3 linked regions of the Schizosaccharomyces pombe genome follow. The gene in region 3 interacts genetically with the main gene of each other region. Each region holds a gene or a part of one and is shown on either strand. Other genes may lie near its edges.

Region 1 (7,951 bases), on a different chromosome or scaffold from region 3:
ATACACTTCAGGGCGAAGTTCAACTGGACAAGCAAATAGAACTTTTCTAAAGAGACCAATTAAGTAGACATGGAAATCCAAAGAAAAACTAGTATCAAAATAAGATTTAAGTAGAATTGTTTGATCCTCAAGCCATCCTTCCGAATATGGCAACTGTGATCGTAAATCAAGAACAGTAAACAACTTTTGGCTAAGTGTAGGGGTTAAATATGAAAAATTAATTTTCAGGAACTCATGAAACTTCTCTAGAACAAAATGATTAGAGTCTGGTTTTAAAATTTCGTTAAATAAAAGAAGATGTTGTAATTGATACGATGCAATAGACTCAATTATATTAGGCTCAATGTGCTGCCAAGTTCCAGGTCGGTAATTGAGAGATTTAGGAAGTGATGAAGATATTTCAACAAGCAAATCTAAAAGGCTGATCCATTCATCTGCATAAAGCACTTCAACAAAAGAACGGCGCTCCAAAGCATTATATAAAGAACGAGTGGTTTCTAAAGCTATTCGACTAGATTTATTCTTTAAGGATCTTTGAAGGAATCCAAGCAGCATTCCTCTAGTGCAATACACTGATCTAGGGATATCGGTAAAGAGAGCACTCACGATTTGAATACCACCCATAATCGCTATATAAGAACCTTCATCTGTCTCTTCCATTATCCGTTTTAGGGAATTAAGTGCTTCGTACTTGGTCGCTGTCTTCAACAGTTTCTCAACAATCTGCTGAGCTGATTGTGAGCTTGCGACTAAGCCAAATTTTGCTCGACATACTACTTCAACAATAGAATACAAAACAGCGGAAGATATGCGACCATAGGATATAATACAATTTAATAACGAAAAAACTAATGCAATGTCTTCTTCATCGGTGGTGCTTTTTGAGACCCACACACAATTCGCTAGCATAGAAGAAACCTCCATTTCATCAAATAAATTAAAGCCCACCCTGAACATATTCGTAAGCAAGAGAATTATCTGACGAAAACAACGGGTGTAATTTCTCAATTCAGCACTTCCTTTGAAGGATTTTCTCGACTGAGCTCGCATATCATCAATAATCGTAAATAAATCAGTCAACCATTCAGACAAAACTTTAAGTATGTCATTTGAAAAAGACTCAGTTCTTTCGCCTTGGGATGTAATAACAATCAAGGCGTCTACAGTAGCAGGATAGTATTCAGAATTCGGAACCTTTGACAGCTCGTTGAATAATAGTGCACGGTCATCGGAAGACATTTCTTTATGCTTTTCAGCTGCATGAGTCCATAAGGAAATAGTGGCTGCCAGTATGTTTCCGTGAACTTTATTTTCAATAATGTCTTTAGTGGAATCAACAAGTTTTTGTAGGATTACATTTTTACAAAACTGCTCATTGTTGATGAGCCTTTTTATGCGTTTGTAGCGTTTATCCAATGACTGTTGATTCGATATTTGGGTGAGAATCGTGTCTATATCCAAAGCCTTCATAGCTTAGATATAAATCGATGCAGCAAACAACGACAATTTTTCTTTAACCCAAACGTAATATAGGTCCTGGGTTGGCACCGATTTAAGTATTAAGATTTTAAATATATTTAAAAAGTGCTAAATTAAAGATTTAATGAAGTAAACCCAAATTATAGACTGCTTAAGCCGTGGAGGATTATTATAAACTCCTGAAAAGATAGCCTTAAGAAACGTGCAGATATCGAACTGTAACGGATTGTAAAAGCACACCTCAATATAGCATCGATTAGGATTTATTCAATTTCTATGTTTTAGTCAATAAAATCGAAACAATGAGTCTTCTTCGCGTTGAAGAAGTCAGAAGATGGTTAATACATACATAATTTTAGCGAGTATATGATAAATCTGTTGGTGAATTTCGGAGTCAAGGTGGAGATATGCAAATTACTAAATACAAGAATAACCATTTAAAAAATGTTTAATCAACCACATGTATTTCAAGAATCTACATTGAAAAGTATTAAGTATTATCTCAAGTTATGCAACATTTATCATAGAACTAAAATTAAAAATTAAGGAATTTTTTATTAATTGTTTATTTTTTAAATAAAAAGTGTCTCAGTTAATTTATGAGAGAAGCCATTCTCCAAAATTAGTGACATTAAAAAACTGAGTGATGATTTGTCTATTGTGACCGTAAGTAAAGGAAATAATATTGCAAAAAAAATATGATACAAATTAAGGAAATATACCAGTGTAGTAATAGAGTTTACAAAATTTAGTTTGTAAACTTTGTAACCAAAAATCAATGCGGTTAACTATTTCCGAGAGCAAATAGTTATATGTAAACAGGAACAAAAATTCAAGGAGATGCAGGGTCAATTGACCATATGCGAGCACGTAAATCACCACTTCCCGAAGCAAATTGCCTACCATCTGGGCTAAAGCATACGGAAATAACTGAATTCTTGTGTCCTTGACAAGTGAGATAAGATTGGCCTGTTTGCAAATCCCAGAATTGCATACTTCTATCCTTCGATCCGCTTAATCCCCAACGGCTGTCGGGTGAAACAGCTACTGAAAGAACAAAATCAGTATGTCCTGTATAGGTGGCTTTGCAAATACCTTCAGGCTTAATAGCTGAAAGGCCAACTGAACGAGTTGCTTGTAATTCCCAGACTTTGATAGTCTTATCAAGACTTCCACTAAGAAGAATGCTGCTGTCGGGCGAAAAGGCAATAGAATAAACACTCTCCTTATGACCTTCCAATCGTTCAACCAAAGTACCCGACACAGACCATACTCGAATTATCTGATCTAGACTACCAACTGCAATGAATTGATCATTTGGAGAGATGGCTATTGCCGTCACACCATTCTCAATTTCTAACTTTAAAATACATTGACCTGTCTCCACATCCCAGAGTCGTGCAGTTCGATCGCCACTACCAGAGACGATGAATCGCCCATTATGGCTAAAATCTAAGGAATAGATATCTTGTTCATGACCTGAAAATACGTAACGAACTTTTTGAGTTGAGAGATCCCAGAGTTTTATTTGACGATCTTCTGTTCCCGTGACTAAATACTTACCATCAGGGCTGAAAGCAATGGTTCTCACATACAAATCACGGGAAGGATCAGGTGATTCTTCATGCAAAGTAAAAAGTTTTTTGCCAGTCTGAACATCAAAGACATTAGCGGCCTGGTTACAGCCAGTTGCTAAATACTTGCCATTGTTACTAAACTTAACGCAGCAAACAACACTGGGATGCTCTAGTGTGTGCACGAGATTAATATTAAAAACCCTTTTGCATGCTGGGTTATAAGTGACGTACCAACTCTGAGAAGTTGTCTTTCTAGCAGCTTCTGTATCTGAAACTGGAGCAATCTGTTCTCTTCCCTGATATTCTCCATCAGGACCCGCTTGGGATATAGAACCAGCATTCGCAGAAGCAGTCATAGAAGGTTCAGCCGAAGGAGTTGCTTTGGTAGGAATACGCGGTGGCTGGACATTCACAGCAGGTTTTGAAGTAGCACTTGGATTATAATAATTGGAAACACCAGGCAATTGAGGATTTGGTTGTTGAGAAACCTGATTTGCTCCGTAATTAACAGGAGGGATATATAAAGGTGTAGTACTAGGTAAATTGGATGTAGATATCGCGGGATTTTGAGAAGCAATTCCCTGATTAAAATTTTGCCCGCTAGAAGCCTCTACTGAAGGAGGAATTGGAGGCATCAATACTTCAGCAACATTATTTTGAGGATAAGCTGATTGGTGAATTGGAGGGATTTGCTGAAAGGCAGGTAGATGGTTACTTGGAGGCTGAGAAGTAGATTTGGTTTGAGAGGGATGTTCCTGATCAATATGGGTAACTTGATTATTAGAAGCGGCAAGTTCAGATCTTTCTCCACGATTTCTATAACTTGCGGTATTCGCTTCGACACCTAATTCTTCAAGCTCTCGCTTCAACTTGTTGATATCTTTTTCGTACCTATAAATGTTAGTAAATTGGTGAAGACAGATGTTATAAAGGTTTTTTTTTTTTTACTTCAAGCATATAAATCTCGAGCGACACGTATGCTATTATAAAATAATGATGAATTTCACAGAAAAGAAGTAGATACTATATAATCCCTCGATACCTTTAACATATAAAAACTTACGTTTCTCTAATAGATTTTTGTTTTTCATACATATCATCCACGGTTTTTCGGAACGCTTCAATTTCTTGAATTTGAGATTGTATCACTGCAATAGAACAGAATGTTAGTTTCCAAAAAATAGCTAATTTAATTTATTTTATTCAAACACGTACTAGAAGATTCATAGTCGTTTCCGCGCGCCTTGGACGCGAAGCTATGATGAGCCAAAGCATTGTATTCAGCCTTCAACGCATCCAGCATTTCTTGAACTTTCGTGGCATCCTCCACTGACGCCATTTTTTTTTTCAGTCAGACTTATTGCAAAAACTGAATCCGATTGATATACGCCCTTTTACAACAATAGCAACACTTGAATTGTGGTACAAGAATAAACTTGTGTTCTTGAACGTTTGTAGCAGCACTTTTATCGAGCGGCTCCTTGTGCTGCGCTAATCTTTAAATAGAGAATGTGGTGCTACATATTTTTGGTTGAGCAAGTATCACAAAATTAGTATGGCGTGTGTGTTGGCAACTTGTCCCAATTATTTTGAAATTCATTTGAATTATAGAGAAAAGCAATTCGAAACCCTTTACTGTTTGATTTTTTGTAGCGTTTATATTATTTTTTTGAATATAGATTTTCTTGCTTTTCAGTTGATGTTTGTTATAAAAAAATAGTTATAACTTTGAAACGTAGTGTAATTCATTTTTTTTTTATTGATGGAAAAATTTGTTAACCGTTTTTATATATCAATATAAAAAAATTAAAATTTGTGTTTAATCAATTTATTATCTGATCCTTGTTTAATTAGATTGTTTACCGACCTTTGTAAGACATTATTACAGTGAGTTTTATCTTGATAAGTATTAATTAAAAGTTATGATAGTATTTAACCCGTAAATTCACATTTCATTTGCTAATGACTCAGTTAATCATAAGTGACATTATTTGTTTAATGATGCGAAATTTGACGCACTTTACTGATATTAAAACATTGTTGGTTGTCTTAAAGATGCTTTTTTCATATAATCTAGTTATCATGAAGAAGGATGAAAAAATCCCATAGTTGAAATTTATTAACACTAAAGCAAAATGTTTAAGCGCAGCAAACCGAAGCCGTCAGAAATTGAGCATTTAATCTGACACGATATGCCATTTACACTTCAAGGGCGATTAATAAATACACTTTGGATTTATTTTTAAATCATATTTATTGCTTATTTACTTATCAATTTTTGTTTGATGTACTATTTAAGTTGTTTTGAATTTTTTTTTTATATGACATTAGTTTGGGATTACTACCCAGTTTAATCAGTTTAATGATACAGGAGGAAAGCAAGATTAAAAAAGGGACGGACAACGTTCATTGCATATCTTGTTATTGCTTGTCAGTTTACGGCCCTCAGCGTTTGTTAAGCTACACTAACTATTTACTTGTAACTTGATAAATTTTGGTATGCTGGTGGTAATACGAGTAGGGGCCAGACATAAAGCAATGCGACAATTAATGATATGTTGCATAGTGGGGCATAATGTAGTGTAACAGCTGACGCTATATATCATCGAGATGTTTTTACTTACGTTTTACAAACTATTTCACTAAAAAGTTTCCGTATAGTTTTATCAGCAATTTGTTAATATTGATATCAATACATATATATATATATATATAAGTCTATTTATACATCGATAACTCTACTAGTCCCATTGTCAATGCTAGTGAATATACTTGTTTTCCGACAGAAATGACTCGTACTCGTGTACAAAAAATGATACCGAAAACCATTGAATACCAAAAAATGATATCTGGTCAACCGTAAGGCTAATGCTTAAAACTTGTCGAGCTAATATATCATCTTCGTTGACATGTTTGAAGTCACATTGAACGCAGGGAGATATTCTAATTACTAAATAACAGGTACAAGGCTTACGACGAGGAGTTGACTCAAGCGAGATGTAATGCTAAAAAATTAATGCGAAGGTTTAATGACACTATGGGAGATTTGGAAAATGTAGGCCCAGCAGAATTGATTAAAAGACGAGCTGAACTGTTGGCTGAAGTTTTTGTATTTGACGAATCTTCAGCACCAGAGATTGAGCCACCTATGGCTTTTGATTACGGATTTAACGTTCATTTTGGAAAAAAATTCTTTGCAAATTATAATTGTACATTTCTAGATGTTGCCATAATTACTATTGGTAATAATGTAATGCTAGGCCCCAATGTATGTTTATATATATATATAGTTACTTTCAAGTCATTCATTCAAAAAATAAATATACTAATGGTGTCTTTCCAGGTTCAACTATGTACAGCAACACATCCCTTGGATTTTAAAGCAAGGAACTCCGGAATTGAATTTGGTTTACCAATTAACGTATGCGTTAGTCCAGTTATTGAAACATCTTACAACTAACAAACAAAATTTTATCAAGATTCAGGACAATGTTTGGATTGGTATGGGAGTTATAGTTCTCCCAGGTGTTACTATCGGGGAAGGCAGTGTAATTGGAGCGGGTGCTGTTGTTACAAAAGACATCCCACCTAATACGTTGGCTGTAGGATCACCTGCCAAACCTATTCGTAAAATTGAAAACGAGTGAACGAGTGTAATTTTTTTTTTTATTATTTCATCTAACGATTAAATGCTCTTTGAACTTCTTAAGTTCACCTGGCTTGGTTCCTAAATTTTTAAAATAGTATAAATAATATTATATTATGTTTGAGCTTTAAATTGTTATATAGAAGACTTAGAATGCTAAAAGAAATCCATTTCTCACTCGCCAAGTAGGATCAGTTTCCTCCTATGACTTGCTAAAGCCCCCACGTGGTACTGCAATCGATTTTAATTCTAATGCTTAGCCAAGTCTAAAATAGTTGAAATTCTTAGTGGGATAAGAACTCTTAACCCCCACGATATATTTGAATGCTAAATAACCTAACCTAAAACCATTTTACACATTTTATTACTAACTTCATTATATTCTTGTAGAGGAACCATCCCATTCACCAGTTCTGAAGTCTCGACAACGAAAATTCATAAAATATGGCGCCTGCAGAACTTAAACGACCTGATTTAATCGTTCCCTACAAAGCTAGAGTCAAAGCAAATGAAGAAGGTAAAGTAGAAAGCACTTTCAAATTGAACCCAATCGTGAGTTACGCTGATTTAATCGCTCAAGCTTTAGTTCATTGTGGAATATTTTAAATCCTTTCTTTCGTCAAATAATTTATTAAGTTTGCTAACCCTATTATAGTTGGCTTGAGTTTGGTAAGCACAGCCACGTGTATGGCTGCTTTATTTCTTCGTTTCAAGTATGTAAGATATTTTAGGATTTTCATGTTAACGAGAAGATTAATTGCATGGGTTGCTTTTATCCTAACCTTTTCAAATTTACTGAACGCAAATACGTCTCCCAGCTCATCTCCGACTTCAATGGCTTTGTAAGTAATCCTAATTCATTGCATTAATGTAGTTCTATGGATGTTAACATTTGATCAGTATGGGTATCGCGGCTCTTGTGTCAACATATTTACCGGTAAGTTGAATTTTTATATTTACTTTGTCGATTAACTTGTGCAGCAATTTTTAAATACTCCAAACAAAACTTAGTAATTTTTAAGTCAGTGAATTAATAAGAGTATTAAGCTGATTTTTTTCTGGATAATTAAATTTATGCACAATGTAAATATCTAATGGTGAAGAGTTCAGATACATTTCTAACTACCATTTCAATCACGTAGCAGACGCGTAAAAAATTGGCTGTTTGTGTTTTCTCATTGTTAAGCTAGTGAAAATGTAAATTTATTTCTTACATCCTGTTGCTCTTTCATTTTTTCTTCCTAATGTA
Region 2 (6,979 bases), 800 kb from region 3:
CGAATTAAAAAAGAATGTCTTTTGCAGGGAAGATCAAATAAAGAAACTTTCATGTTTACTTTTTAATAAGGATTGTCGTGTTCCAAGCATTGTGCTTTACGGAGTTGCTAGTACAGCAAAGACTTTTTTATTGCGGACCGCTTTTGATTTGTCAAAAGAAGAAAATGTTTGGATTAATTTGCAAGACTGTTTTACAGTCGCTCATTTCTGGTACCGGATCCTTATAAAAGTCGGTGTTGACAAAGATATAGCATTAAAAAAAGGCATTAATATCAGTGGATTTATTTATTTACTGGAACAGGCAATGTCCAAAAGGGACTATCATACATTTTTGGTACTTAGTTCCTCTCCTATTTTATTACTCTTAAATACTAATATGAGTTATAGGTGCTGGATCAAATAGATGATTTCGCTGAGGCTTCTACTATTCTATTCTCACAATTAGCTCAGCTTCCGATTGTTGTAAGTAAATATTTACAGACCCACTGATTAACTATTTTAGGCAAACATTCCCAATCTGTCAATCATTTTTGTACTTCATTCTCACCCTGCTCAATACTTGGGAACATTGTCTATTGCAGTGATTTTTTTCCCACAATATACCCAAGCGGAAATATTAGAGATATGCCAAAAAACACCTCCTAATTTAGATTTTTTGGATAGATCTGGCGATAGTGTTTTTGAAGACGAAATTGAGCTCAGCGTCTGGATGCAATATTGCTCGTTTCTTTGGAGTGTTTTTGGAGTGCAGTGCTTAAATGACTATAGGTCTTTTCGTAGTGTTTTGGATAGATATTGGCCAAAGTTCATTCAACCTATAGTTGAAGGAGACATACATCCTGCTGATTATGCTCAACTTCACAAGCTGGCTAAAAACTTTTTAGTGTCAGATGCTACGGTTACTAAAAGACTTCACATAATCAACCCGACTGAAATAAAAAATCTTCTTGATTCCAAATCTATTAACTTGTCGCTCGTTTCCAAATATTTACTCGTTTCTGCATTCCTAGCATCTTATAATCCAAGCCGGTTAGACGCCCAATTTTTTTCATTTTCTAAAACTTCGAAACGACGTGGAAGAAAACGTAAACAAATTCAAGATGAAGGGGTTTTATTTTCCAAAATACCAAGAACCGCTGGGAGCAAAGGCCGGTCTGCTGTAAAAATATCCCAACTTACATTAGGACCTAAACCTTTTGAAGTAGAAAGGTTGATTGCTATTTATTATGCCATTTCTTCCCCGGTAGAGAAAGTTCTGACCGCTGATGTTTTTGTTCAAATAGCTACACTCGCCTCCTTAAAAATGATACTTTCGGCTTCCAAAGGTGTGCTTCGCTCTTTGGATAGCCCTAGATACATTGTCAATGTCTCTCGCGAATATGTATTAAAAATCGCAGATTCACTTTCGTTTCCTCTCGATAGTTATTTGGCGGGATAGCTTAGTATTATGGTTTATTTTATTGCATTACTGAAATTTTGAATATCGTAGTTCTGTCACAATTCATTAATTTATACAGAACTATATGAACATCCATTCTATCTCCCCATAACATGTTATTTTACTGTTTAAAGGGCCCAAAACTTAAAAAACATATTTTTTTTTGTTACTTCTGGAAAATAAAAGAAAATGTACACTACAAACAATTCGATTACGCCTCTGTGATTCTGTGTAAACTGTTACGTATTTAACATTATGGAAGTTGGCAAAGCTGTAAAAAGCAAAAACTAGCGCCGAAAACACTCTTGACAAAAAAATAAAGTAATGTGCTGCTAAGATGGATACATAATATATATCAAGAGGCAAAGTTTCAATCATAACTCTGATATAAAAGTTAACCCTCTGAAAGAGCTACTCTGCTGCCGTGTAAATCAACAACGGGAGACAATTCATTAATAAGAACATATGTATAAAGAAAAGCGTCCGTCAGTTAACGTCAAAACATAAGTAAAAGTATATTTTTAATGGTTAATAAGAAATCATTGGAGATTTAACCAAAATCTTATCCATTTAAAGATGATTAAAAATAAGTATCAAAACCCGTTCATGAAATATGGAATGTTAGAGGTAACAGTAAAAGATGAAATAAAACGGAGGTTCAAATGAGAAAAAGAAAAAAGGGTGTTTCAAATCATCAAATATTTAGCATCACCGACGTTGTGTATCTACACTAGCTTTGCTATGGCTACGATGGCTGCTTGTGCTTCCTCGACGTCCATGTCTAAGCGAAGGAGCACTATGGGGAGCGGGTGGAAGAGTGCCTTTCATGTGAGCATATAAAACAGATATGATATCAGTTAAGCTAACAACGCCCAACAATTGATTGACCTTAACACCACCCATGGATCCAGGGGAAAGATGTGCGTTATTTTTTGGGGAAGGAGGGCAGGAAGGTGACTGCACAAGCCAAAGACGATGACATTGGGTAGCCACCAACTTAGCCAACGTAAAAGCAAAAGTAGAGGATTCATAGATGTTAAAAGCAGGAGCACTATCCTTACCAGCGCGGATACCCTGTTCGCTTTTAATGACACTCAAAAAGTGAGCACATGATTTGTTTAACAAATAGACAGAAGAAGAACGTGTAACGTATTTAACATCAACGAGAGATATGTTGCCAAGTAACCGGAATTGAGCATCGACAACAGCAAGTGAACCAATACCGGTTTGATTCATCTGTCGCAAGGCCGCGGCGACTTTTTGATCTCCAGAGATACAGGTGATGTCAGTGCTTCCAATGTCCAAAGAGTGAATTGTCCTGGACATTAGAGGCTCCAAATCGGGAAACGCACGAATATTATTCCACAAAAAGCGGATGATAGAGCGCTGAGAAGCCATAAAGCTCAATTCACCCTGTTCGTTAGTGACGGCAACACGACGAATACCGGAAGAAAGAATCTCAGCGAGACGTCCAAGGCTGGTGGTGTGAGGGATGGTGATAAAGTCATCCTTGTTTTTCCCGAGTTTTGCAACCTCATAAGCAGTAATGACTTTTCCAGCACGAATATCTTCAGCGACCTTTTTAAACCTGCCATCATTGAAATCATCAAAACCCACTACCATGAGCAAAAATGAGTTAAGATCTGCATAGTCAAAGGTCGTAGCAATCTCGTTGCTTCCCTTAGCAGCAACAATAGGCAAGGCGCTAAGATCTCGGTCGATCAAAATGGAACTTGCCTCTTCCATGGAAGTTTCCGGGTCTATGAGAGCAATTTCATTATCATGAAGAAATGTTACAGGGATATCTTGCCATTTATTTGAAGGAAGATTAGTGGGAATGGGAAATTGTGCCAAAAAATCTGAGACCGAGTTCACGCCAAAGGACTGACGTCCAGCGCTCGATAAAGAATCAGACGATTGAGTTGACAAAGGCATTCTATACAGTTTTCCAGTTAAAATCTCTTTCTTTCCTCTGCATACAACAAAACTTACTGTACCGTGCAGTTTGTCAAATCTAGGTCAGTGTGTGGTTCTGGATAGCGTTGAGGTAGGCAGTGACGGAAGTACCTAGTGATACAACGAAATAGGGGTACGCAGTGGTAAGGCTTTTTTAATCCACGACCTCTTTACCACATTAGACTGAGATCTCTGTAAATCCCGCCGTATACCACCGTCTACCTAATTAATCCACCATGTATGTGGCCTAGTTAAAAATTTCATAATCTGCGATTTCAGTATTTACATCACAATCAACCACTATTTCATTGCTTGCCCGCTTTCATCCCAGCAAGGTAAAACTAGGCAAAAAAATTTTTATTCTTTTTTAAAAATTTAAAAATTAAAATTAAACATAAGGATGGATTTAGTATGAGAGAAAAATAGCCAAGCGGTTAATCGGACGTTTTTCCTTGTTCATAAAGTGGGAAAGTGGGGCAGCTGCTCTAGTTGTAGATGCAGTGTAGGTCGGTTTTGCACAACAAAATCCTAATTTTGTCATTGCAAAAAGGCAAACAAAAATTTGTGTGCAACGATGAAGTGATTAGATGAAACGAGGCGCGCCTATGGAGCAATAAAGCGCTTTGTTTGTTAAAAATGCTTTTGAATTAGAGTTATGGATGAACAAAGTCAACACATTCATATGTACTAAATAATATTAAGACGCAGTATGAAACATACATAATTCAACGTTGCGATACCGAACAGCATCTACCCAATCTTGAAAAAAAAATTAAAATTTACTCTTTATGTTGTTTGATAATTTGGCAGGAGAATAGATAAGTCAAGTCATCAAGTAATTAATTTTATTAGTTAGTTTGAGAGTAATCTCGTACTGTAAGCATAATAATGCATGCTATAATATTGGGTACTCAGTTCTCTAATTATTATACATAGTACTTACACAGATGATCATCATTACCATTGCTTAGCAAAATTGGCAATCATAAACAACAGATATTTCTACCACTGCTATAGCGCTATACATCATTCGAATTTTGAGTGGACTTTTGCTCAAGACTTATTTGTCGAAGAAACGAATGAAAATCCACCCCTTCGTCTAATTTCTCTCCCCAAACATGGAGAAATCAAATCTATGTAATATAGGTTGGAGATGACCAAGTCAGCATTAAATGTTTGATCATCTCTTCACTTAGCAAATCCTATTGAATATCACTCAGTTAATCTCTTGTTTTGATCTTTTTCATTGATAAATGAGTACTAAATACATTACTGCTACGTATTGCTTCGTCTCATATAGTAACGGTGGCCAAATTTGAAGTGCGACAAAATACCATACTACTAGTAATAGAAATTCACATACTGAAACGTCAGATGCGTTTAATAAATAAAGCGCTTGTGTTTTGTTGGCAATTTGTGATTCAACGTGGTAATTAAAAAGTTTCAATATTGAGTAAATGGTCCGCTACAGATCACTCCGGGGAAGAGGTTATTGGGTTACGTAAAAAGACTCATGTGCTGTGGGAATAGCTATTGAAGAACACAAGGTATCGATTGTGTCTCACTCGACGTACCATAAGAAAGTTAAATGGTAAAGTGTGATATATGAAGTGAAAATACAACGTTACTATAATTAGCGGATCCAAGATGTCCAAATGATGATGATGATTGATATAGGAAATGCGATTATGTAGAAGATAAAGTGAATTTCCAAAATATCAAAATTAAAATCGAAAATAATCGAAATAACATATTGATATATATATGTAATTTGAGAAAATAAAATTTAAATATATAGGACACAAATAGACGCTCATCTAGTAGAAGAAATTCCAGCAGTCCAGTTACGGTTTGTAAGAGCATAAAATAAAGTAAATCCATAATTCATATAATAAGTTTTCATCTTGTCCTTTATTTAATTTTATTTTTTATTTATTTTTTATTTTTTTTTTTTAAATTTTTACTCCTTTCATTGATTAATTGTAGTAAAAAAAATCTACAAATTCATCGTCCATTTTATCCTATTCACTCGCAATTCTTTTTGGTAAAACACCCACGTGCGACTTTGTATTTGCTTAACGTACAAACTGCCAGTAGCTTAGTGTAAAAAAAAAATTAAAAAAAAAATAAAAAAAAATAAAATAAATCTATAAATGAATCATTACAAATAACGAATTACCAATTGAAAAATTAGTTAGAGTTTCTTTAATTGATCATTAATACATTATCGAATATTAAAATACGTTGGAAATCTGATATAATGCTGCGCACTTTATTAAACAATGAATTTCCACTAAATACCATAATAGCTTCTGTCTTGTCCTTGCTATGTAAACAAAGCTCAAGCCAAACAAAAACTTCAGGCGCATATTAAACAAGCACTTAACGTTTCGTACTAGATATTCTCTCAATTGAATTAATTGATATACGTTGTAAATTATTTCTATGACATGTACCTACCAGTCTTAAGCAGACATTATTAGATTTTGTCCTTTGTTTAACATATTCTCATGTATAAAATTTCTACATTTCTCTCTCTTTTTTTTTTTTTTTTTTAATTCACCACTTTGTATTGTAACATATTTACTTTCACTAAGTCGGCATTTTTTTTTTCCACATCATTAAACCTTACATCGCTTATAGTCGCTACCCTTTGGTCGGCCTTTCTACCCAAGACTTCGTACATACAGAAATCCTCAAAGACGCTTTTAAAGACTATAAAATTAAACAAGCATCCTTGTTTTTTCTGATATCTCATATCACAACATAATAATCTTAATTTCTCGAGTATCTTTTCTTGAAAATTTTTAATTTTTCTCATCTTTATTTTGTTGCTGCTTCAGCAAGCCAGTTATTAATTTTTGTTTAAAAATATATAAATATTAAATATTTATATATATTATTCCATCTACAAAGCATTACTTATTTTCACATACATATACATCTACCTTCATATACAACACTCACTAGTATTGTGTTAAATTTTATTCGTCCAATATCATTTTGCTACCCTGTTTTTGTGTTTTGTCAAGCATTTTATTCTTTGTTCTCTTTTTTTCCCAGATTTGTCACATTGAACCTACGTCCTTTCACGTTAACGTACTCGGACGCTTTGCTCAAATACTATTGAATTGCTCAATAACGTTATAAATTCTATATCCTTTTCTTTTTTCTTTGGAAGAATTTCGCTTTCTTTAATCGTTTAATCGGGCGCCAGTGGGTCTTAATACTGTGTTTTGCTAATAGAACCAATAGGTTCTGTCCGATCTCCTCTAATAACGTTCTTTTGATGATTTTCTCTTTTATTTTATTTTTTTTTTGTTTGAAAACTTAGTATAATATCCATCCTTGTTTTCTTCTTTTACACTTTGACTTGATCCCTACACTCTTTCTTTTTTTTTTCTACCCTCTCTTGTTCATTAGCTACTTAGGCAATTTTTAGCTATTGAAATTTATAATGACTAAGCGGCACTCTGGTACCCTATCTTCGTCGGTGCTTCCGCAAACAAATCGATTGTCCTTGTTAAGGAATCGTGAAAGCACCTCTGTGCTTTATACAATCGATCTTGATATGGAGTCCGACGT
Region 3 (8,550 bases):
CAGTCACTTGAAAAAAAATTCAACAACTCAAATATAAAAGAAGAAAAAAAGGGTTGAGTATGATGCAAAAATGCTAAATTATCAATGTAAACAGCCAATTCCAATTATAAAGGATTTGAGGCGCAAATGAGTGAACTACAAGGATAATGGATTTCCAAAGCAATAGAAAAGTCCAGAAATCCGATTTAGTAAGAATATGGATATGCTTTTTCCACAAAAATTTGAAACAGAGAAGGAATGAAATGAAGATTCGTTTGTGAACGCCATCGCCAACAATTTATGTAAGGAAGAACTTAAGGATATGGCAAAACATTTCACAAAATATTTATTACAAATTGTGGCGTATTATGTAATTCACATTTGCGAAACGTACCGATAATAAAAGCAGTGTAAAGTAGCTTGTAACATGCCAGCTTTGTACTTAAGGCCTAACCAACATTTTGCCTAAGACTTGATATACTTGTAAAGGTGGTATATTCAAATATATTGAAAAAGTTCTTGATTTGTCTATAAAAAAAGTATTAAAAGGACTATTCTTTGTACCATAATTTTGGAAAGAGCAATTCAATCCAAAAAAAATAAGTTCTTGAGATATACCCAAGTTTCCTTTAAATAATGCAAAATGTACGTATTTCATCATTGAGAAGAGAATTATTTTGTTAGGAATTTCCCTCTTTTTAACTGTGTTACATGGTAAACTAATGAGCTTTGGGCATATTAGTTAGCTAGTCAAATACAAGAGAAAGCGGTTGATTCACAGCAACAACTGAGGACCATAATGGTACAGATTGCTGCCAAGGAACGGGCACTAAAAATAAGTGAATTAGCCAAAAAAGAGTTAGAGGATGTTGGAGAAGATAAGGCCGTATATACTTCTCTTGGAAAGATGTAAGTGTCATAAAATGAAACATGTATTTTTATTTTCTTTTCTATAAAAATAGGGAAAGAATACGGAATTAGCAAAAACAGCACTTTTGGAATGGAATTGACCGTACTGTCAATCTATATGTAAAGTCATTTACTAACTGTTTATTTACAGGTTTATGAAATCCGATTTGGCTTCCGTACGTACACATTTGGACGCAGAAATGGCAAGTTTAAGAGAAGATATTGAAGCACTACAAAAGAAACAAACATATCACGAAACAACGGCCTCAAATGCTGAGCAGCATTTACAAAAGATAAAAGAGTCGATTTCTTAAAACATCAATTATAATCATCTCATTGGTAAATTGGATTATGGGATTGGAAAGTTTATGACTTTCTTTTTTATCTTTAAAACTGTAGAATTAAAGTAAATTTGTTCCATTAATCTTCTTGCATTTCTAACAAATACTGGGGCATTTGTGAGCCGAAATTTTGATCACTGTGACTGCGCTTTTGTGTATGGATACTTAAATTTCAAGCTTGAAGACTTGTGAATTTAGTATATGTTATACTTTTAAGGTAAGTTTTCTACTGTTAGAATTGACGTTTGGAAAAGTAAATGGAGAAAGGATTTCTTTGATGATTCCAAAAAAGCATAGTTCAACTGAGCATCGTATGCTGAAACTTTTTCCATCTGATTTGCACGTCAGTCTGAGATTTCTCGTTCCCTTTTGTTTCTTTCTTTTTCAACGTCTGTTTGTCTGACTTTTGTGTTGGCTGTTTTACTGACCCATACTTTAAGGTGTTCTATATTTTTTCAAGGATATCATTAACTGTGTGGAAGCTGTTTTGTTCTCCATTAACTTCTGATTTCTTTTTGAGAGATGCACAAGGAATAGTTTATAGCTTACTTATAGTTTATGAATAAAATTATCCGAAACGAACTGTCACTAATCATTGTTTAACAAAGTATGTAGTAATGTATTAATATTAACTATGGCGACAATATTAGGACTTGAAGGTCTCTCATATCAGATGTTTGTTTCTGAATTAAAATAATAATTCTATATACGAATTGTGAAGTTGCCGTTAAATTATGATGGTAATTTGCTGTAGTTCTAGTTAAAGTCATTAATGTAGATCCTGCAGTTCAACTTTTTGATAAGATCTGCAGACAACTTTATATACAATAAATTTAGCTAAATAAAAGCAAAAAGGATTAAACACCATCGGTAAAAAAAAATAACTTTATTAGTTTATGGTCTATTGTACCCATACACTGATCAAGAAGTAATTTAAACATATAACATAAATTTTCACCTATGAAAGCAGTCTAATAAACACAAAATAACATTACTAATTATATGCCAAGAAGTTTAAAAAAAATTTAAAACAAAAAAAAAAAGAAAAACTGAACAATGGAACCTCAAATGTCGAGACTCATGATACTAATAAAAAATTTAATACTTAATTTATAAAATAGCATAACACACAACCAAGGTGTTTAGATGGTTTAAAGGAAGCAAAGGTAACTAGCGTTCACAGCGCAAATATTGGGTTAGGGCTTGGTCATAGGAGTTAACGGCCCTATTGAAAATGCCGGTGTGGTGGTGGAATAGGAAGACGACGCCGACTTTGTGGATGAAGAAGGAGATGGCGGTGATCCGGCCAAAAGGTTGCTGACACTCACACGCGAAGAAGAGGAGAACTTGCGTGATCGTCGATTCGATGATATACGGACTGGACCAACATTCGACTGGGATGCAGGTTTGTGAGGCATGCTGCTATTAACGTTGGAGAGCGAGCTCAGAGAGACGGACGATGGAGTACGAGAGACAGCACCAGAGGCTGGTGTAGACGCGGAAAAGGCGTTAGGATCACACTTCAAAGGAGGAATTAACGGAACTTGAGAAGGTCGTAGAGAAAGCGAGCGGATAGAAGGTAATTGAACGCAAGATGGATCATCCATGGGTCTCAAACGAGGAGAATGTGCCGGTGTAACGAGAGGTGTGACGTCTGGGGTGGGACTAAAGCTCCTAGTGGAAAAGGTAGGACTACTCGGTGCAGTGCTGCAGGGGGAAACCGGGCGAGAGCGACGCTGGTATCGGAAATGGGCAAAATCACTTGACGAAGAATCATCATCAAAGCCATTGGATACGCTGGGTCGAGAATAAGGCAAATAGTTGTAATGGGCATAACGTAAAGACTGAGGAGCGTAAGCCGTAGTACCAACGCCATACATTGAATGAAGGCTAGTACTACTGTTAGATTTGCTAGGCAGATAGGGAGTCTGCATAGACGAATTACTATATAAAGAGTTGCTCGAGCCATTAGTATACTTTGTAAATGAACCAGTGGATGAGTTAGAAGTTAAGCCTCTATTGGGAACCGATGCGAGATGATTAGGAGAAGTATTGGATGATGATGGCAGACTACCTACTACATTCATCTGCTTCGGTGGGGAAGGAGCATTAGATAAAGGCATTAAATTAACACCCGAAGACTTTGTAGGAGTGATTCTAGGGGCAGCATCCAATTGATTAGCAGCCGCTGAAGCCAACAATTGCATCTCGTTCATGGACGACAATCTGGAATCGGGTTCCGAGCGTTGAGAAACAGCACCCGGAGGGGTACCCGTAACATGGATTGTAGTACCATTTTGAGTGGTATGAAGGGCATCGGGAATACCGTAGATAGTGGCAGGTTGAGCTTGAGCGGGTAGGTTGTGAGGCTGTCCATTACTAACGAAAGTAGCTTGTTGTTGTTGCACTGAAGCCGAGTAATGGTGAGGATAACTCATGGAAACGGCGGCAGTGGCGACGGGAGGTGCAACCGACATGCCAACTTGAGGAATGAACACGGGGTAGGAAGGATTCACATTAGGATTCATTGAAGCATTGGTCATATGCACACCAGCATTGTTTGTAGATGGTTCTAAATTGCCAGCAGGAGAATTGGAGCTTCTAGCAGAATTATTAGCGGCAGCGGCAGCAGCAGCGTTCCTTCTAGAGTTTGCATTTGTATGGATGCGTGCATGTCTCGTCAATTCATCGCTACGAGAGAATCGTTTGGCACACCCAGGAAAAGTACAAACATGAGGCTTTTCACCCGTATGCGTTCGAATATGACGGGTTTGATGCTCTAAACGATAGAAGGCCTTGGTGCATAGTGGGCATTTGTAAGGACGAGGAGCGTCAGGATTCTTGGTAGAGCGGGATGGCTTACCGGTTGTTGTGGCAGTGGTGGCTTCGGACATGACGAAGTAATAAACAGAGCACGGCAAAGAAGGAGAAGTAAAAAAAGAGAAGAAAAAAATAGCACGAGTAAGGGTAGTATTTAATAAAAAATAGCTTATTTCACCCAAGAAAGAGAAAGAAACGACCGTTTAAAGAAAAAAATGAATAATAATAATAATAATAATAGTAATAGTGAAGATAATAAAAAAAAATCGCTGGAAGAGAAAAAAAAGAAGATTAGAGGAATTCTAGTTAATAACGAGAAGAAATTTCAACGATGAGAGAGGATTGGAAAAAATAAAATTCAAAGTTATATAGTTGAATGCTTCAAAGGAGCCCAAACGAAAGTTCCAAAGATTACGAAAACAACTTGGGAAAAAAATAACTTTGTAAATAATAATAAAAAGAATTGAAGTAAAAAAGAGGAATAAGCAGGATCCTTTGTTGGACAGATGAGAGCCAAAAAAGGAAAATGTTTACGAGGAGGAAGGCAATGTAAACGAAGAAGAGAGATTGATAGAAAATGCCAATGAAGGAACCAATGAAAAGGAAAACAATATAACAAGATCACCTATATATAATAATAGATAAAATAGATATAGATATGGCGGATGGGAAGAAAGCTTCTAAAGGCGGAGTAAAGTATAGGACGAAGAGGAAGAAAGCTTGAAAAAGAAAAAAGCAGCCAAACTTTCAACAAGTTATACGAAGAGATAAAAAAAAGGCGATTGAATGGGAGTCAAGAAAAAGGATCCAACAAGACGATTATGTGAGTGGCAATGGAAGACGAACACACAGAAGGACTAATGGATGGACAAAAAAGAAAAGGAGAAAGAGGAGGAAGAATAGACAAGTCAATTTGTTGACGAAAGAAAAAAGACGGATCCCTCGATCGAACGAAGAGAGGAATGATGTAGCGAGAAGGCGACAAATTTAAAAATTAACGGACCGAATACAACAGGAACCGGATTGAGATCCGAAAATGCAAAGCAAAGCAAAGCAGATGAGGTGAGAAAAAAACAGTCGATACAAAGTCGAGGCAATGTAAGACGGATGGATGAGATTTTCCAAAGTTGGATGTAAGGAAAATACAGAAGAAGTAGAAGAGGAAAAAATAGAATAAAAACAGACCCACAAACAAAAAAGAAGAATGAAGGAAAAGAAAGGAAAGGGAGAAAAATATAAAATAGAATAAAACTAAAAATAAAATAATAATAAAAGGAAGAATGAAAAGAGAAAATTGAAAAAATTGGGAAAGAAAAAAAAAAATTTACGACTCTAAGGAAATCCCAAAGTAGCAGGCAACGCAGAGAACTGAAGGAAATGCTATGAAAACCCAAGTCAAATGGAAGAAAGCAAGCAAACAAGTCTTGAAGCCTTGAAATTAAAAAATTTTCACTTTGTCACACACTGGTAGTATGGGGATACTACCGGTGGAGCTTGATTTACTTTGAGTATGGTGGTGTGGTGTGCGGTTAAAAATGAAAAACGCGGGGTGTGGGTTAGCTAAATACTCGAGGAGGGGAGTGATCTCCGGGCGGTACGTTTCGTATATATATATGCTGTTACGTATTCGAGTGCAGTTGCGATATGGTAAAATTGGAGAAAAGGGAGGGGTAAAAGGAGCACGAGGAAGGGATCCACTTTGTAATTCAGAATAACGCAGTCGATAGAGAAATATGGTGGCGCTTGCTGGTAGGAGGGGAAGGAGATGGGCGAGGTGGAAAGGCGGAGCGCTCGAAAGGATGAAGGTTAACGAGAGAAGTCTAAAAAGTAACTTAACGAGGGCAATGGTGATGGGGGGTTAAAGGAAGGATAGAGAGGGTGGGGAGGTGTGGGGTAAGGAGAAGATAGCGAAGGAGAGGGAGGAGGAAGGAGGAAGGGGAGAGGTAAGAAAACAAGGTGAAGCAAAGTTAGACGAGAGAAGAGGAGAAGAGGAGAAGAGAAGAAGAGGAGAAGAGAAGAAGAGAAGAGGTATAGACAAGAGGAATACCAGAGGTGAACAGCATATGAAATATAAGTGTTGGTGTTGGTATTTGTTTGTTTGTTTGTTTTTTAAATATGTATAGGTGGTAGAATTTAGTGAATTTTTCTTGTTGGTGTGTATTGTTTTGATGGTTAAAGTTGTGGTTATGATTATAGTGATAATGTAAAGATGAATTGAATATTCTTGTAAAGATGAATTGGGTAATTATTTTGATGATTGTGCATATTTTACAATCTTGAATCCATTTTCGAAGTCTTTTTATTTGAATTTTATATTGTCGCTTTATCTCGTCTCTCTATTTCCTCCTACTGCATTTTTTCTCTCTCTCTCTCTCGACCGTGCTTGTACTGCGACTCGTAATTCTCATTTATCGCATCGCAACGCATCCCCATTCGAGACTTTTGGCGATTTGGCTTTTTTAGCCCTAATGTGTCCGCTTTTTCTTGTCAACGTCATCTTCTGATTCCTCCGGGAGTCAAATTTATTAAGCTGCGGAGAGTCCCTAAACTGGACAAACTCGTCCAAGCCAGAACTTGTTGAAAAGGGTCGATATGAGCGGCGATGACGAGCGTAGCATCCTTGTTTATTTATCTAGAAAACTCAACCTCGACACCAAAGGTGGAGGTCACCGAATGGCGGCATTTACTAAGGAAACCATAAAACAAGAAATTCCTTAATCAAGCAATAACATAACCGTCTTTTCCTCTTCCCTATGCAAACCCCCTCCTTCTCTCCCCCCCAGTGTTTAGCCCAAGGCGTCAAGTGGGGGAACCCCAAGTGCTGTGAAACACAGTCTCTTGGTCAAATGTTAAACATTCATAAGGCATTGTAGCGTATACAGAGAAATGGACTGTTAAATGATTTTGCTTGTGTAATACATTGCAGTGCAGTGCAGTGAAGCGTAGAGTAGAATAGACTATGCTACAGTAGGAAGAAAATACCCCTTATTTGGTAGTAGTAATCAATACTGTAGTAGTAAAAACTACAGTAGTGAGAGTATAAGAGTGAAGTGAGAATTTAAGAGAAGTGAACATTTAAGAGAAGTGAGAATTTAAGAGTGAAGCAAAAAGTATAAGTGTATATCTAGCACACTCAGTATTGATTCAAATCATATAGGATCATTGTGTTATTACTAGCTACAATGGACGAGATATGATGATGGTATGGGATAAAATACGATGGAATACTACTATCGTTGCTGTTGCTGTGACAGATTCCTCCGTCGCTACATCGGCAGCAAAAAAAAAATTGTTTTTTTCTTTCATCCCTCAAACCTTTACCACCCCAATTGGAGCATCATTAGTGGGAAAGAAATTTTTTTAATTTCTTCATTCGACTGCAAAGAAGGCAGCAGCAATATTCATGATGTGACAGGTTGAAGAAATTAAAAAAGGAGACAGAAAATGAGAAAAATAAAAAAAAAGAGAAAAAGAAAAAAAAAAAGAAAAAATTTAATTTATCATTTATTATGATTATTCTTTTTTTTTTTTGATTTTATTATTTTATTATTTTTTCATTTCATAATTTAGTTTTTATTTCACAGTTCAGTATTTATTTTTTATTTCGTAGTCTAGTTTTTATTTTATCATTTGTTCTTCATGTGTATTGCCTACTCTTTTTGTCTTTTTGTCTTTTTTCTTTTTCTTTTTCTTGTTTGTTTATTTTTTTGCTTCTTCGGCCATTGCCATCCCTAACACTCCTTTTTCTTCCTATTACAACAGTGTCGCTTTCTCGACCTCTCTACCTCACCGCACTGCTCCTTCCGCACCTCCTTTGCCACAACTCTGCATCCGTCTATTGCCTTGCACTCTCTCTTGCCTGCTCCTTTCAACTTGTTAGCGCTTGGGGTGATTTTCTTTTTCCAATAGATTCATTAACAATTTCTAACATAGTACCGTAAACGACCTTTTCAAGAATCGCTCTGCACCTCCTTCTTTCAATAGATCAATGTAAAATAAAACAAACATAACCTATGATAATTTCCTCTCCCTTTTCTTATTAGCGATCTTCCTTTCTCCACCGTATTCTCCAATAAATGAAATGATTTTCAAACAGCAGGAACCAATCTTTTGCTACAGATGTTTACCTAGAACTAGTAAGACAAGACAATCCACGTAGTCTCATATCGACTCCTTCTATTTCACTATCGTATTCACCGTTTCATTCAACCACTCTCTTCCAAATCTTTAACGATCACTCCCTGCATTCCCTTCCTTCTTCCTTCCTCCTCCTTTCACCCCACTATTCCCCTCAACCACTCCACTCTTCCTCGCTCTTTTTTCTTATTCTCTCTCTCTCTCTTTCATTATCCCATTTAACGATTTCCTCCATTTCCCTCCTTCCACTCTCCACTCAACAAGGTTTGTCTCCCTCTCATGTGCTCCGTTAATGCTCATTCTGGCTCCGACGGCTTTTTGCCTATATACATCAACAAACTTTGCTTGCGTTTTCTCCTTCCTT

Evidence for each region.
Region 1: of scr1 (region 3) and tup11, changing one enhances a phenotype caused by changing the other (phenotypic enhancement), as found in Schizosaccharomyces pombe (one study listed by BioGRID).
Region 2: of scr1 (region 3) and sds23, a mutation in one rescues a mutant of the other (synthetic rescue), as found in Schizosaccharomyces pombe (one study listed by BioGRID).

Annotation. Positions count from the first base shown.
Region 1 is NC_003424.3:297,317-305,267, forward strand, and holds tup11 (transcriptional corepressor Tup11), read right to left. Parts: upstream 4,481-7,951; 5' UTR 4,396-4,480; coding exon 4,272-4,395; intron 4,205-4,271; coding exon 4,120-4,204; intron 4,096-4,119; exon of another isoform or gene 3,948-4,095; coding exon 2,312-3,947; 3' UTR 1,962-2,311; downstream 1-1,961. Other genes in the region: SPOM_SPAC18B11.11 (GTPase-activating protein), read right to left, coding at 1-1,470; SPOM_SPAC18B11.09C (serine O-acetyltransferase activity), read left to right, coding at 5,845-5,915, 6,018-6,324, 6,400-6,477, 6,536-6,703; protein pat10, read left to right, coding at 7,147-7,219, 7,358-7,415, 7,455-7,544, 7,603-7,639, 7,684-7,713.
Region 2 is NC_003423.3:947,275-954,253, reverse strand, and holds sds23 (protein sds23), read right to left. Parts: upstream 3,478-6,979; 5' UTR 3,431-3,477; intron 3,375-3,430; 5' UTR 3,374-3,374; coding exon 2,147-3,373; 3' UTR 1,962-2,146; downstream 1-1,961. Other genes in the region: origin recognition complex subunit Orc5, read left to right, coding at 1-334, 388-462, 503-1,438; GTPase-activating protein Gap1, read left to right, coding at 6,852-6,979.
Region 3 is NC_003423.3:1,749,162-1,757,711, reverse strand, and holds scr1 (DNA-binding transcription repressor, glucose sensing, Scr1), read right to left. Parts: upstream 5,620-8,550; 5' UTR 4,124-5,619; coding exon 2,426-4,123; 3' UTR 2,093-2,425; downstream 1-2,092. Other genes in the region: pfd1 (prefoldin subunit 1), read left to right, coding at 616-624, 722-888, 1,040-1,202. UniProt on the Schizosaccharomyces pombe protein: Involved in carbon catabolite repression. Represses the transcription of various genes including the inv1 gene.